3 linked regions of the Coturnix japonica genome follow. Each later gene encodes a partner of the first gene's protein in a complex. Links are inferred from orthologs where the notes say so. Each region holds a gene or a part of one and is shown in the gene's direction. Other genes may lie near its edges. The genes, in order: SLC3A1, SLC7A13 and SLC7A9.

What was found.
Region 2: the proteins of SLC3A1 (region 1) and SLC7A13 are in contact, whole or in part, in a cryo-EM structure (PDB 8WK6), measured with the Homo sapiens proteins. The link is inferred for Coturnix japonica from reciprocal best matches to the Homo sapiens genes SLC3A1 and SLC7A13. Residues at the interface, in NP_000332.2 of Homo sapiens: Pro64, Tyr65, Ala66, Gly67, Met68, Pro69, Lys70, Leu73, Phe76, Ser77, Arg81, Tyr82, Pro85, Arg86, Leu89, Phe90, Thr93, Ser96, Val97, Leu100, Ile101, Thr104, Ile107, Ile108, Ser111, Cys114, Leu115, Glu194, Asn195, Asp202; in NP_620172.2 of Homo sapiens: Ile120, Phe123, Phe124, Pro125, Ser126, Cys127, Leu132, Pro133, Cys136, Leu137, Leu139, Ala140, Met141, Trp143, Ile147, Arg151, Lys187, Thr265, Arg267, Asp281, Arg282, Glu450, Cys454, Tyr455, Gln457, Leu458, Leu459, Phe460, Asn461, Ile462.
Region 3: the proteins of SLC3A1 (region 1) and SLC7A9 are in contact, whole or in part, in a cryo-EM structure (PDB 6LID), measured with the Homo sapiens proteins. The link is inferred for Coturnix japonica from reciprocal best matches to the Homo sapiens genes SLC3A1 and SLC7A9. Residues at the interface, in NP_000332.2 of Homo sapiens: Pro64, Tyr65, Ala66, Gly67, Met68, Pro69, Lys70, Leu73, Phe74, Phe76, Ser77, Tyr82, Pro85, Arg86, Phe90, Thr93, Val97, Leu100, Ile101, Ala103, Thr104, Ile107, Ile108, Ser111, Cys114, His201, Asp202, Thr373, Glu374, Pro375; in NP_001119807.1 of Homo sapiens: Cys137, Phe140, Tyr141, Val142, Gly143, Cys144, Pro147, Ile149, Val150, Cys153, Leu154, Ala156, Ala157, Leu160, Phe161, Thr164, Leu168, Thr279, Thr281, Asp295, Arg296, Tyr299, Tyr343, Val346, Arg347, Lys467, Thr470, Met471, His472, Gln474.

Annotation. Positions count from the first base shown.
Region 1 is NC_029518.1:22,701,523-22,705,272, forward strand, and holds the start of SLC3A1 (neutral and basic amino acid transport protein rBAT), read left to right. Parts: upstream 1-866; 5' UTR 867-971; coding exon 972-1,368; intron 1,369-2,039; coding exon 2,040-2,219; intron 2,220-2,472; coding exon 2,473-2,627; intron 2,628-3,176; coding exon 3,177-3,302; intron 3,303-3,750. UniProt on the Homo sapiens protein: Acts as a chaperone that facilitates biogenesis and trafficking of functional transporter heteromers to the plasma membrane.
Region 2 is NC_029517.1:111,076,030-111,079,679, reverse strand, and holds part of SLC7A13 (solute carrier family 7 member 13), read left to right. Parts: intron 1-2,053; coding exon 2,054-2,185; intron 2,186-3,650. UniProt on the Homo sapiens protein: Associates with SLC3A1/rBAT to form a functional heterodimeric complex that transports anionic and neutral amino acids across the apical plasma membrane of renal epithelium.
Region 3 is NC_029526.1:8,598,808-8,602,557, reverse strand, and holds the start of SLC7A9 (B(0,+)-type amino acid transporter 1), read left to right. Parts: upstream 1-1,535; 5' UTR 1,536-1,623; intron 1,624-2,450; 5' UTR 2,451-2,458; coding exon 2,459-2,563; intron 2,564-3,678; coding exon 3,679-3,750. UniProt on the Homo sapiens protein: Associates with SLC3A1 to form a functional transporter complex that mediates the electrogenic exchange between cationic amino acids and neutral amino acids, with a stoichiometry of 1:1.

The DNA of each region.
Region 1 (3,750 bases):
ATTGAAAATGAAATGGTGTCCAAGGCAACACTACGTGAACATGATTCAGCCTGCAGCTCCGTGTGTGGTAAGGCAAGAGGTCGAGAGGGAATGTCCTCAAGTTGCTCCAGGGGAGGTTGAGATCGGATATGAGGAAAAACTTATCTAAAAGAGTGGTCAGGACTGGCACCGGCTGCCCAGGGAGGGGGTGGAGCCACTGACCCTGGAGGTGTTCAAGATACCTGTAGGTGTGATAGTAGGGGACGTGATTTGGTGGGGAAGTATTGATGATGGGAGATTTTAGATGCCTTTACCAACCTTAGTGATTCAGAGATTCTCAGTTATGTGGCTATGTTGTAGTGTACGAGGGAGCTACTTGTGCCTGTGCAGAGCTGGTCATGCCTGGCCTGGCAGAGCTCTTGGGTGCAGCAACTTGTAAGGTGCTGCTTTTTGAAGTGTGTGTGCCTTATGGGTGCTGTTGCTGCTGAGGTGCTCACCCTGGGCTGTGAGAAACCAAGCTCATCAAGCTTTGGATTTTTACTTCCTATTGAATTTGTGCTGTTGGAGCTGCCCACGCCTTGTTCTCTGTCAGTCTTTGCATTATTCATTAATGCTGAGATTGCGTTCAGGAAGAGAGACCATGATCAGTTTACGAAGTTGCACATTGTGGAAGAGAAATTTATGATGTTGAAGAGAGCAGCAGTAAATGTAGCTTTGCAGTTAGTCCCAGGAACAGGCCTGCCACTGTGGGAAACTGCTTTCTTGCAGCGTTATCTCACTGAAGATGCCTGTTATGCAGAAGAGCCGGAGCACTTTGCCCTTTCTGTCTCCTGTGAACTTTGACCAGTTGGTCAAGATTGTTTATAAAGCCAGATGCTAATTGCGCTGCTTCTCATTCCACTGAACAAAGGTATGCTGGCTCCCTGTACTGAGTGTCCCTAGGAGGAGAGGCAAAAAGTGAAACAGTCGACAAGGAGGCGAAGAGCTTACCGATGGAGCTGAGTGAGAAGGGAGGTGTGGAGAACAACGGGTTTGTTCAAAATGAGGCTTTTGATGACAGGGAGACCGACACCAGCAGCCAAGATGAAATACCAAAAACGTGTGCCGTTGATGTGAGCCCAGCAGCCGTGGCAGAGCAAGCATTGCAGCCCTATGCAGGAATGCCGAAGGAGGTCCTGCTGAAGTTCTCCAGCCAAGCCCGGTACAGGGTCACCAGGGAGATTCTCTTCTGGCTCATCATCGCTGCTGCTGTCCTGCTCGTGTCTGCCACGATTGCCATCATTGCTTTGTCCCCAAAGTGCCTCGATTGGTGGCAAGATGGTCCTATTTACCAGGTCTACCCTCGTTCTTTTAGGGACAGCAACATGGATGGGAATGGTGATCTGAAAGGTATGTAACAAAGCGGGGCAGCTGACAAAGTGGGGGTGAAGCAAAGTGTTTCTTCTTGTTTTCTTTGTGATCTGGGTGTTTCTGAGATCTTACTAAGATCATGTACCTGATACTGATCAGGTATTGGTTAGCTGTGCTTCTAAACGGGATGTCTGAGCCCAATAGCGTATGAAAAATTTCTAGACAAAAAGCAGCAGCTGTAGCAAATTGTAGGAGACTTTTCCTAACAGAAGACAAACCTGAGGTCTTTGCATTGTGACTGTACTTCCTTTGGGTGGTCAGAGGGTCCATTGACTTTGAAACCAGAAAGTAACGATGGTGCTGTATTTTAATAAAAATACAGGTGTTTGTTTTCAGAAGTGAATGTTAAATGTATTGCATGAAATGGCGAGTATTATTCTGCAGAATAGAAGTTGTCTTCTGTCAGTCTTTTAAATGATTATTATTTTCCTTTTTCCCTGTAGTGGTGACTTTGAATGGTTTCCATTCTGTGGCCTCATGTTGCTCGTGAAGAAATGGCAGGGTTGCCCCGCTATCTGAGATAGGTGAAAACTGGGAGTGGTTACATAGCAAAGAGATCTGTGTTCTGTCTTTGAAAGCCCACATCAAACTTAATGTGACCAAACACGTTTGTCTGTTGTAATCAGATATTGCCCTTTTTCTTTTAATAGGAATCCAAGAAAAGCTGGACCACATCACACACTTAAATATAAAAACCATCTGGATCACATCTTTCTACAAGTCCCCCTTAAAAGATTCTGGCTATGGAGCTGAAGACTTCTATGATATTGATCCCATGTTTGGATCAATGCGTGATTTTGAGGATCTTCTTGCATCCATACACGATCGAGGTAAGCTCTGATCAAAACAGCCCTATTACAAAGATGTTTGCTGTTGTGGTACAGGTGTGCCTTGTAGTTTCTGGAGAAAGCAGAAAGAGAATTATAAGATTAAGGGGGAGCATAGACTTCCTTCCTGTGGTTGTGTCTTTGGTTGGTAGCACATGTGCCTTAAGCCAAATCCTTGCCCAAATGGTTCCCCTTATGCCTGTAAGATGTGATCCTTATCACAAAAGGCTTGATTTAAAGTATGTGCGTGTTTTAGGGTTGAAGGTAATAATGGATTTCATACCAAACCACACCAGTGACAAACACCAATGGTTTCAGCTTAGTCGCAATCGCACTGGGAAGTACACGGATTACTACATCTGGCAGGACTGCGAGCAGGCAGGGGCAGCCATCACTGCTCCCAACAACTGGGTGAGTGTGGGCAGGGATGGGCTTGTAAATCCCTTGTAAATCACCTGTAATTCACATGCTGGATTGTGGGTTGCCGGGTAACAACAGCACCTGGAACACAACTGTCCTGTGGATGTGGGGCCATGGCCTCCAGCACTGGGAGCAGGGGTTGGGTGCTGCAATGTAAGGAAGACATATCAGAGAACATCCAAGGGAGGGCTGTGAAGATGGTCAAAGTCTGCAGGGCAAAGTGTGTGAGGAGCAGCTGAGGTCCTAATTCTAAAAGAAAATGGTCTTGGAAAACTGTTTTCCATTGTATTGTAATTGGCAGCAAAAGTCTGCTTAGAAGAATGAAACAGTATTGAACATGAAATACGTGTGGCAAAAGCGTGACTGAAAGGAGGAGCAGCTAACAGGAGTAGGAAATGAGAAACAAAACATTAAAACCAACCCAATTTGTTGCACTGATGAGGCATTTTGTGCCTTGTTATATGCTTGTAATGCCTCACAAATTATACACGTAGCTAAACTATAAGTTCTGATTGCTTTTCTTCCCCTTTACTTGAGCAGGTGAGTGTCTATGGGAATTCCAGCTGGCAGTACGACGATGTGAGGAAACAGTGCTATTTTCATCAGTTTGGGAAAGAACAGCCGGACTTAAATTTCCGCAACCCTGCTGTTCAACAGGAAATCCATGTAAGTGTCTGATCTGCTGCAGCACCAATAGCACAAATTTACAGCTTAATTGAAAGTTAACTTTAAGATTACAGTACATTTAAATGGTTGAAACAGAATAGTGTGCAGACAAAGGTTAAAATGTTTGTAAGCAAAACTCAAGGTTCGTCTTATGATGGTTCCGTGACGGAGGACAACGCCTGATGGAAGGACTGATGTGGTGCTGCAGAGCAGCTGAATGCCCAAGCTGAGGGAAGCTTTAATCTCTGTTGATACAAGGAGCTGTTTATTAGCCAGCCCTATGGGGGTAACAGTTTGTTTTAGCAGAGGTGTTTGCGTGTTCATGGCAGGGAGGCAATGCTGATCTGAAATGCAAGGAATCCCATTGCTTGTAGATAAGGAAGAATTCGTGAGTTTTGCTACTGAAGCTAAAGTAGCAAATAGATTCAGCGTTTCCTTTGAGAAGCAA
Region 2 (3,650 bases), on another chromosome or scaffold:
AACGGACATAGAAGAATGTAAGGGAAGTGGTATATTTCTTCTGATAAAACTTATATCCAATTTTAAACATGCAAAATCTTGTGGCGTGTTCATTTCCTTGTCCTGTTCTATATCTAGTGATAGGTAATAAAGAGCAGTTTTTCATGGAAACTACAAGGAGATAATGCTCACAGTTACATACTGTGCAACAAGTTGAGTGAACAGTGTTTTATAATATCATTAGATTTATGAGTTAAGTTGTAAGCAAATGGATAATGCTGTTATATGTTTAATCTTACTCATCTGCTGACCTCTACCACATGTAGAAACATTAAACGTTAAATAAACTCGATGTGTGAAACGTGTAACACAAAGTTCAGTGGTGAGAACAGTGTGAAAATTGGGTTAATATTTAAAAACCTGATAGTTACTATTAAAATCCCATTAATTCTGCATTTAGAATATGCTCTTATTAAAAAGGTGGTAAAAAGCAGAAAATATAGGTTTTGAAAGCTTAGGGTTTTCTTAAAGGCAAGAATTCAGATTTGTAAACCCAAGGAAATACAAAATTGTTCACAAAGTACTATTTGCTGATCAGTTACCACAAGTAAAAATTGAAATACACAAGGGATACATGCAATCCACTGGGTAACACAGCTGTTCAGACAGATGCTATATGCTTCTATGCTATAGACCTCTCCTGAACTGAGTTTCCAGTTCTTCAACAATAACTTTCATTCCTGTGAGCCTTAGCTAAAGGATCCCATGCCAGCTGGATGTTGGGACTGTAGCTAGCGATGAAACAAATGCAAAGACAAATTTAAATCAGCTATTTTGGTGATTGCCTCCTTTTGTGCTCAAAATTATGAAGTGTATTTCTTCCATTTTAAATAAATCCCCAATTCTCTAGTAAACTGTATCTGCATTTCTCTGTTGTGCTCATTCTGTCTCTCTGCAGTCTGTGCACTGCACCCCAGAATAGGGCAGGCTCAAAGCTGATGTTGGAGGCAGAGATAGTATTTGGGGAGAAAAATGATTCACCCTCCCCCGTCAGCCTATATCAATACTGATACAGACTGAGTAGTTTTAAGCTAAGATATCGGGTTTAGCACTAAACACTTTTCCTCCACCAGTTTTGTCATGGAACTGATAATGGCAGAATCCAGCTGGGAACTGCCCTTTTTGAAAGCCACTCCATTACTGCTCCTCTGTCAATACTCTTCCATTATATCTTCTGTACCTTCTGATGTAAGAACAAAGAGAAATGTTTTGGGTGGAAACAGGAAAATACACTCAGTATGATGATTGGAGGGCTGGAGCACTTCCCTATGAGGACAAACCGAGAGAGTATAAACTGGAAGACAGTGGATTTAAACTAGATATTAGGAAGGAATTCTTTACTGTGAGGGTAACGACACTGGAAGAGGTTGTCCAGCGAGGTTGTTGTGGATGCCCCTCTCTGGAGGCGGTCAAGAACAGGCTGGATGGGGCTTTGGGCAACTTGATCTAATGGGAAGTGTCCCTGCCCATAGCAGGGGGTTGGAACTACATGATCTTAAAGGTCCCTTCCAATCCAAACCATTCTATGATTTGTATGAAAATTTTGAATCAGGGCTTACAAAGTGATGAAAGAATAAATAAACTGACTTTACAGCCTCACATTCAATATTTAGATTCAAAAGTATGTCTATTTGGAAATGCATTACCAAGTTAATATTCTAATGTACAGCCATATATTTGTTTAATCACATCAGAGACAATTAGTACTTTGTCATATTTTTATCAGTCTGTCAGGTCTCTCTTTTCCCAAGACACCTGATAACTAAAAAAAAGACAAAGGAGAAAAAAAAAAAAAAAAAGTTCTAAATACTTGATTTAGGACTCTGATGATAAACTACTCAACAAATACTGCAGGAACACACAAGCAGCATAGTTTAGGAACAATGATTAGGGGTTGGGGTGAGATTTCTGTGTCAGTCATGTCAACCTCTGTGGAGATTCACCACTGAAACCACGCTTACAGAAGTTGAACTGCTTGCTTTATTGTTATTATTTAATTAATTGTGTTTTTCAGAGGAGATGAAAAACCCTAGCAGAAACATCCCTTTAACTGTGATGACAGCTGTTCCCGCAGTAATTGTGTTTTACTTACTGGTAAACATCTCATATCTGACTGTCCTCACACCAAAGGAAATTGTCTCCTCAGGTATGAGTTTGATATTTTTGTGAGAAAGGTGAGATCTGTTAGCATACCTGTTTGATGTCAATGCACTGGATTACTTGTGCTCACTTAACTCCACAATTGGGAAGTCTGAGTTTTAGTCTAAGTTTTAAACGAGATTTGTGGTTTAAATTTTCTGCATGATATAGGTTGGACTGAATACAGAGTATATAGTAAGTGTCAAAATTTGGCTTATACCTGTACAGTTAAAAAAGAAATCAGAAGTGCATTAAAACATGGAAACCAAATGATGATTGTGCCCTTGTTTGATATAGGTAGGGATTTAGTTTTCCAGTTGTTTTAATCCCCTCTCCTCCTTTCTTTCCTGTGTCACAGTGTCTAAGGCTAAAGTCCTTACTGTTTAGGATGGAAATAAATAATATTTTCAAGTTACATGTAATAATAAATAATATAAAAAAGGCAATAGGAAAATATAGCCATTTGGGGCTGAAGACGGGTTATTCATGATAAGTATTTTCATTTCTTGGAAGACCCTGTACAAAAGTCCAGTTTCTGTAAAGCTTTTCTCAGATGCCACGCCAATAAGCTGTGCATAAAAAGGCCCAAGAGGAGCTGTATTTCTCTTTGATTGTCCAAGCAGCACCTTTTAAGATCCCAGCCTAATGAGACTGAACTGTCAGACCTTGCCTTGTCCAGGAGTGACAAAAAAAAAATCAATTTTTTTTATAAAATTATTATTATTATTTTTTCTTTTTCCTCTGTGAAAACAGCTCAATAACATAAATGATGGTGTAGCTGTCACTCAGCAGCCCCATAGTGTTGTCTGCCCATGATCAGGCTATCTGCTGGGAGAGACACATTTACAGATCCATTCTGTCAGGAAAGCAGCAGTAGATAACAGAATATCAGCGAGCAGGTGCTTGGCTGGCACAAGCAGTTCCTGAAATGATGCTGGAGCTGTGCTTATTTACGTCAGCTGAGGAGATGGCCTTAAAATTATATCTCTCATTTCAGACACTGCTATACACTGTGGCAGTTCTTGATTGCTCACTACATTGTTATCTTTTCCCCTAATCTGAGGAGTTTTATGCAGTGCAAATCACTGCAAGACCTATATTCCTCACGACACTCAGTTAAAGGCCTGCTAAGAATCAGTCCTCAATATAATGCAGGCCATCACCAATTTCTGAGAAATATGGAAAATCATTTGTCCAGCAATAATCTTTCACATTTCCTAGCTCTACCCAAAGCAAAATCAGATTAATAACATGCTTTATGACCTGTCTTTTAGCATACATACAATTGTGTTTCTTCTTACAGCAGGCCATGTCACCTCTGTGGCCAGGCAGATTCATGCCTCCATTATTTTCTTTACTCAGACTGCCCTGCTCACATGTCTACATTTGTTATTCATGATGCCGAGATGCAGCTGTAATGCTTACAGGGTGCTCAGTCCATTGCTTCCTGTTGGCCACTGTGGCTTCACCCA
Region 3 (3,750 bases), on another chromosome or scaffold:
GATGGAAATTTCTAAACAAGTTGGTTACAAGGAAAAAAAAAAAATCTTTCTTGAAGTTTAATGCTGCTTTTAATTCTTACCAAAATAAAGAGGAGACAGTAAAATTGTTACCTGCAAAATATAGCTTTGATTTCAGTACTGATATTGTTTTGCAATCTCATCCTCATCAGTGAACTAGATGAAGGGACAGAGTACACCCCAAGTAAGTTTGCTGATAATATGAAGCCATGAGGAGTGGCTGACATGCCAGAAGGCTCTGCTTCCATTCAGCACAACCTGGACAGGCTGGGCAGCTGGGCAGAGGAACTCGCTGAGGCTCATCAAGGTAAGTGCAGCATCCTACACCTAGAGAGGAATAACCACACACAACAGTACAGTTTAGGAGCTGAACTGTTGGAGAGGAACTCTGCAGATAAGGGCCTGAGTACCCTTGGTGCACAACAGATTGGCTAGGACCCAGCAGTGTGCCCTCATGGCTAAGGCTGCCAATGGGATCCTCGAATACATTCAAAAGAGAATGGCTAGCAAAGTGATGGAGGTCACCTTCATCTCTGCTCTGGTGAGGCCACATCTGGGGTACTGTGTCCAGTTCTGGGCTCCTCTATTTAAGAAAGGCAGGGAAATACTAGGGAGTCAAAAAAGTCACAAAAAATGACTGGGGCCTGAAGTAACTCCCTTATGAGGGAAGGCTGAAAGACCTGAGCCCATTCAGCATGGAGGACATTGAGAGATGATCTTCTTAATGCTTATAAATATTTAGAAGACAGTAGTCAAGTGGATGGGGCCCAGGTTCTTTTTAGCAGTGCCTAGCAGCAAGACAAGTGGCAATAGGAACAAACTGGAACACAGTTCCATACAAACATGAAGATAAACCTCTTCACCATGAGGGTTACACAGTACTGGAAGAGGCTGCCCAGAGAGGTTGTAGAATCTCCTCTGAAGATACTAAAAAGTGCACTAGGATTCTTTCCTGTGTGACCTGCCCTGGGGAACTGGCTTTAGCAGATGGGTTGGACTCTATCTCCAGAGTTTCCTTCCAATGAAAAATTGAAACCGCAGATGAAAGAAACACAAGCTGCCCACTCAGCTGTCTTCAGGTTAATGAAAAACCAAACGAGAGATTTCTGCTCACACTTCTCCATCTCCTCGAGATGAAACGAGCTGCCTTTATGGGATGCACTTTACATCTAAACAGATACTTTTAACATATCCACACCACTACAATTACTTCAAGTTTATCTTTACACAGTTTCTGAACCGCAAACAACTTGACATGAAATTAAAATGCACTTAAATTACGACTTCCTCTCACTATATAATAAAATAGTTAGGTAATAGACAAACATTCTGAACAAATGGGAAAAAAAAACTTTTTGTTTTAAAGATAAACTAATTGGACTATTGGTTTACCTGTGGTTCCCATCTCAAAACTTCTTGGCTGAGAACAGGTTTAATGATTACCTTTTATAACCTCTGTACTTAAGCTGCTGTTGCTTCTGCGTATTCTTGTTTCGGACATGGAACTGTGTTGCTCTCTAACTGGCTGGTAAATCTAACGGGAGGAAAGAGAAACACTATAAGAGATCCCTGGAGCCTGAATTACATCAAAGAAATACAAATAAGGTAAGTGACAGCATGTTTTACTAGAAGATAACAACATACTCTAGACAAAAAACTTGAAAGAGAGAAGTTGGGCACAAAGCTGTAATAGAATTCAGTGACCCAAGCCCTGCATTCCTTACATGGGCAATTTTCCATTATTTCTTGAATCTTAAGTTGGACCATACGTTGATTTTTAAAATCTTAAAATCATAAACCAGGTCTCTATATAGCAGAAACATTTCTGAAGACCAGCAGTACTGAGATGGACATTCCATCAATTTAAAAGGCTAAAAAAAAAAATGCCAAGAATTGCTGGATACTAGCTGAATTGCCCAAATACGAAGCACGCCTGCATTGTCTGTTTAGCTGCAAAACAATCATCAATGTTCAGATTCTAACAGTTACAGATGGAGAGTCTAAGGAGAGAGGGGATTGACTGCATTAACTGTGGGAATCAGGACTAATCTGTTTTAACCTCCACTTCCATCACTACTTCAGGCTGGATTTTATTCCAACACTTTGTGAAACAAACAAAACTTTCAAGAAAATACTACATTCAGAAATCTAAAATTAACATTTTTGAAGTCAAATTGTTCACAGTCTTATCCTGAACAGAATATAGTGTTCACAAGAAGACATTTACCCCAGTTCAACACAGGGAAGAACAGCAACACTTTCTGAAACAAAGAGCTGCTATTTAGACACTTACAGGAAAGGACACCTGGTCAAAAATGCTTGTGTCTCCAAGAAAGCAGGAAAAAGCCTAATTTAATAAAGATTTTTAACTGTTTTTTTTCCCCTTTATTTATTTATTTTTTTCCCCTTTATTTATTTATTATTTCAACAAGTAAATCAAATGGGTGAAGGAAGCTTGAGGAAAAGAAAAGACCAGGACAACAGAAAGGAGGATGGACAATCCATTCAGAGTCAGGAACCCCAAGCAACAAACCTAAAAAAACAGGTAAATGCCTACAGCCACTCCCTTAACATGCGCATGTGAAGGGCCGGCACAGGGAGGCATTAAGAATGTACATGTGATGATGTATCATCATATAAAAGTTGAATTTGCTCTTATGTGCAGTATCTTCATGGTGTGGCTGAATTACATTTTATGAACTTATTAACTGCTATGTATATAGCTCTGATATAAACACAAAAGAAAGTATATATAATTTTCAAGTCTTTAAATTACTTCTCACTATTTTACACTTCAGAGTTGCTCAGCTCAGCATAACATTATGGACTTCACTAATTCTTCCTACGCCAGCTTCTCAGAGGCTGAACAGGGTTGGTTCAGCTCACTACTGCAAATCTGTTAGTGTTTATGTCCATAAAACAGCTAAATGTATAGAAAAACAAACAGTAATTTTTCTTCTCCGGAAAATGACTGATACTTTTACAGAAAGGATATGCCACTTCATTTACCTCTGACAAGACTCCCACGGCGAAGTGTAATTTATCTTTCAGTTTAAGCAACCTGGAAAATGATACCCTGCATAGATACATTTAGGTGCTAAGAACCTGGACTGGCAAAATACCGAAGTTATTAGGCTAGCTATAACTTAATAAGGAACATTTAAGATGCCCATGCCAATGACCTTTGAGCCTCAAGTTTTAGAGTCATCTAATGTGGCAATTGCTACAAAATCTGAAGAATGTAATCTTTTCATTACTTATCAATATTAAAATCATTTCTGGAGCAAGGAGAGCAGAGCAACTGCTTAAAGAAAAAGGGTAGAATCCCTCCGAGAAGGCACATCTTAGAAGCTACAAAACTTCAGAATTCAAGTGTTCACCAAAATGTGACGCTTAAGTTAAATAAAGAGAATTGCTCACACGTACAACGTTAATATTGAGACCCACATAATTCAAAGGATGGGTTATGGAAACAAACATGCAAGCTGGCATGCCACAGGCCATGTACGTATTTGGAAGAAAAAAAAATCCACAGTTTACTAATTAGTTGAAACTTCATGTCAAAAGCTACAGCAAATCACTGACGTCAGTTAGTATCGTATTAAACTGAAAAGTAGTTACTAGAAATTACTTCACCAAAATGTCTCCTTTTATTTCAAGGTGGGCCTGATTAGTGGAATCTGTATGATCGTTGGTACAATTATTGGCTCAGGTATCTTTGTTTCTCCAAAA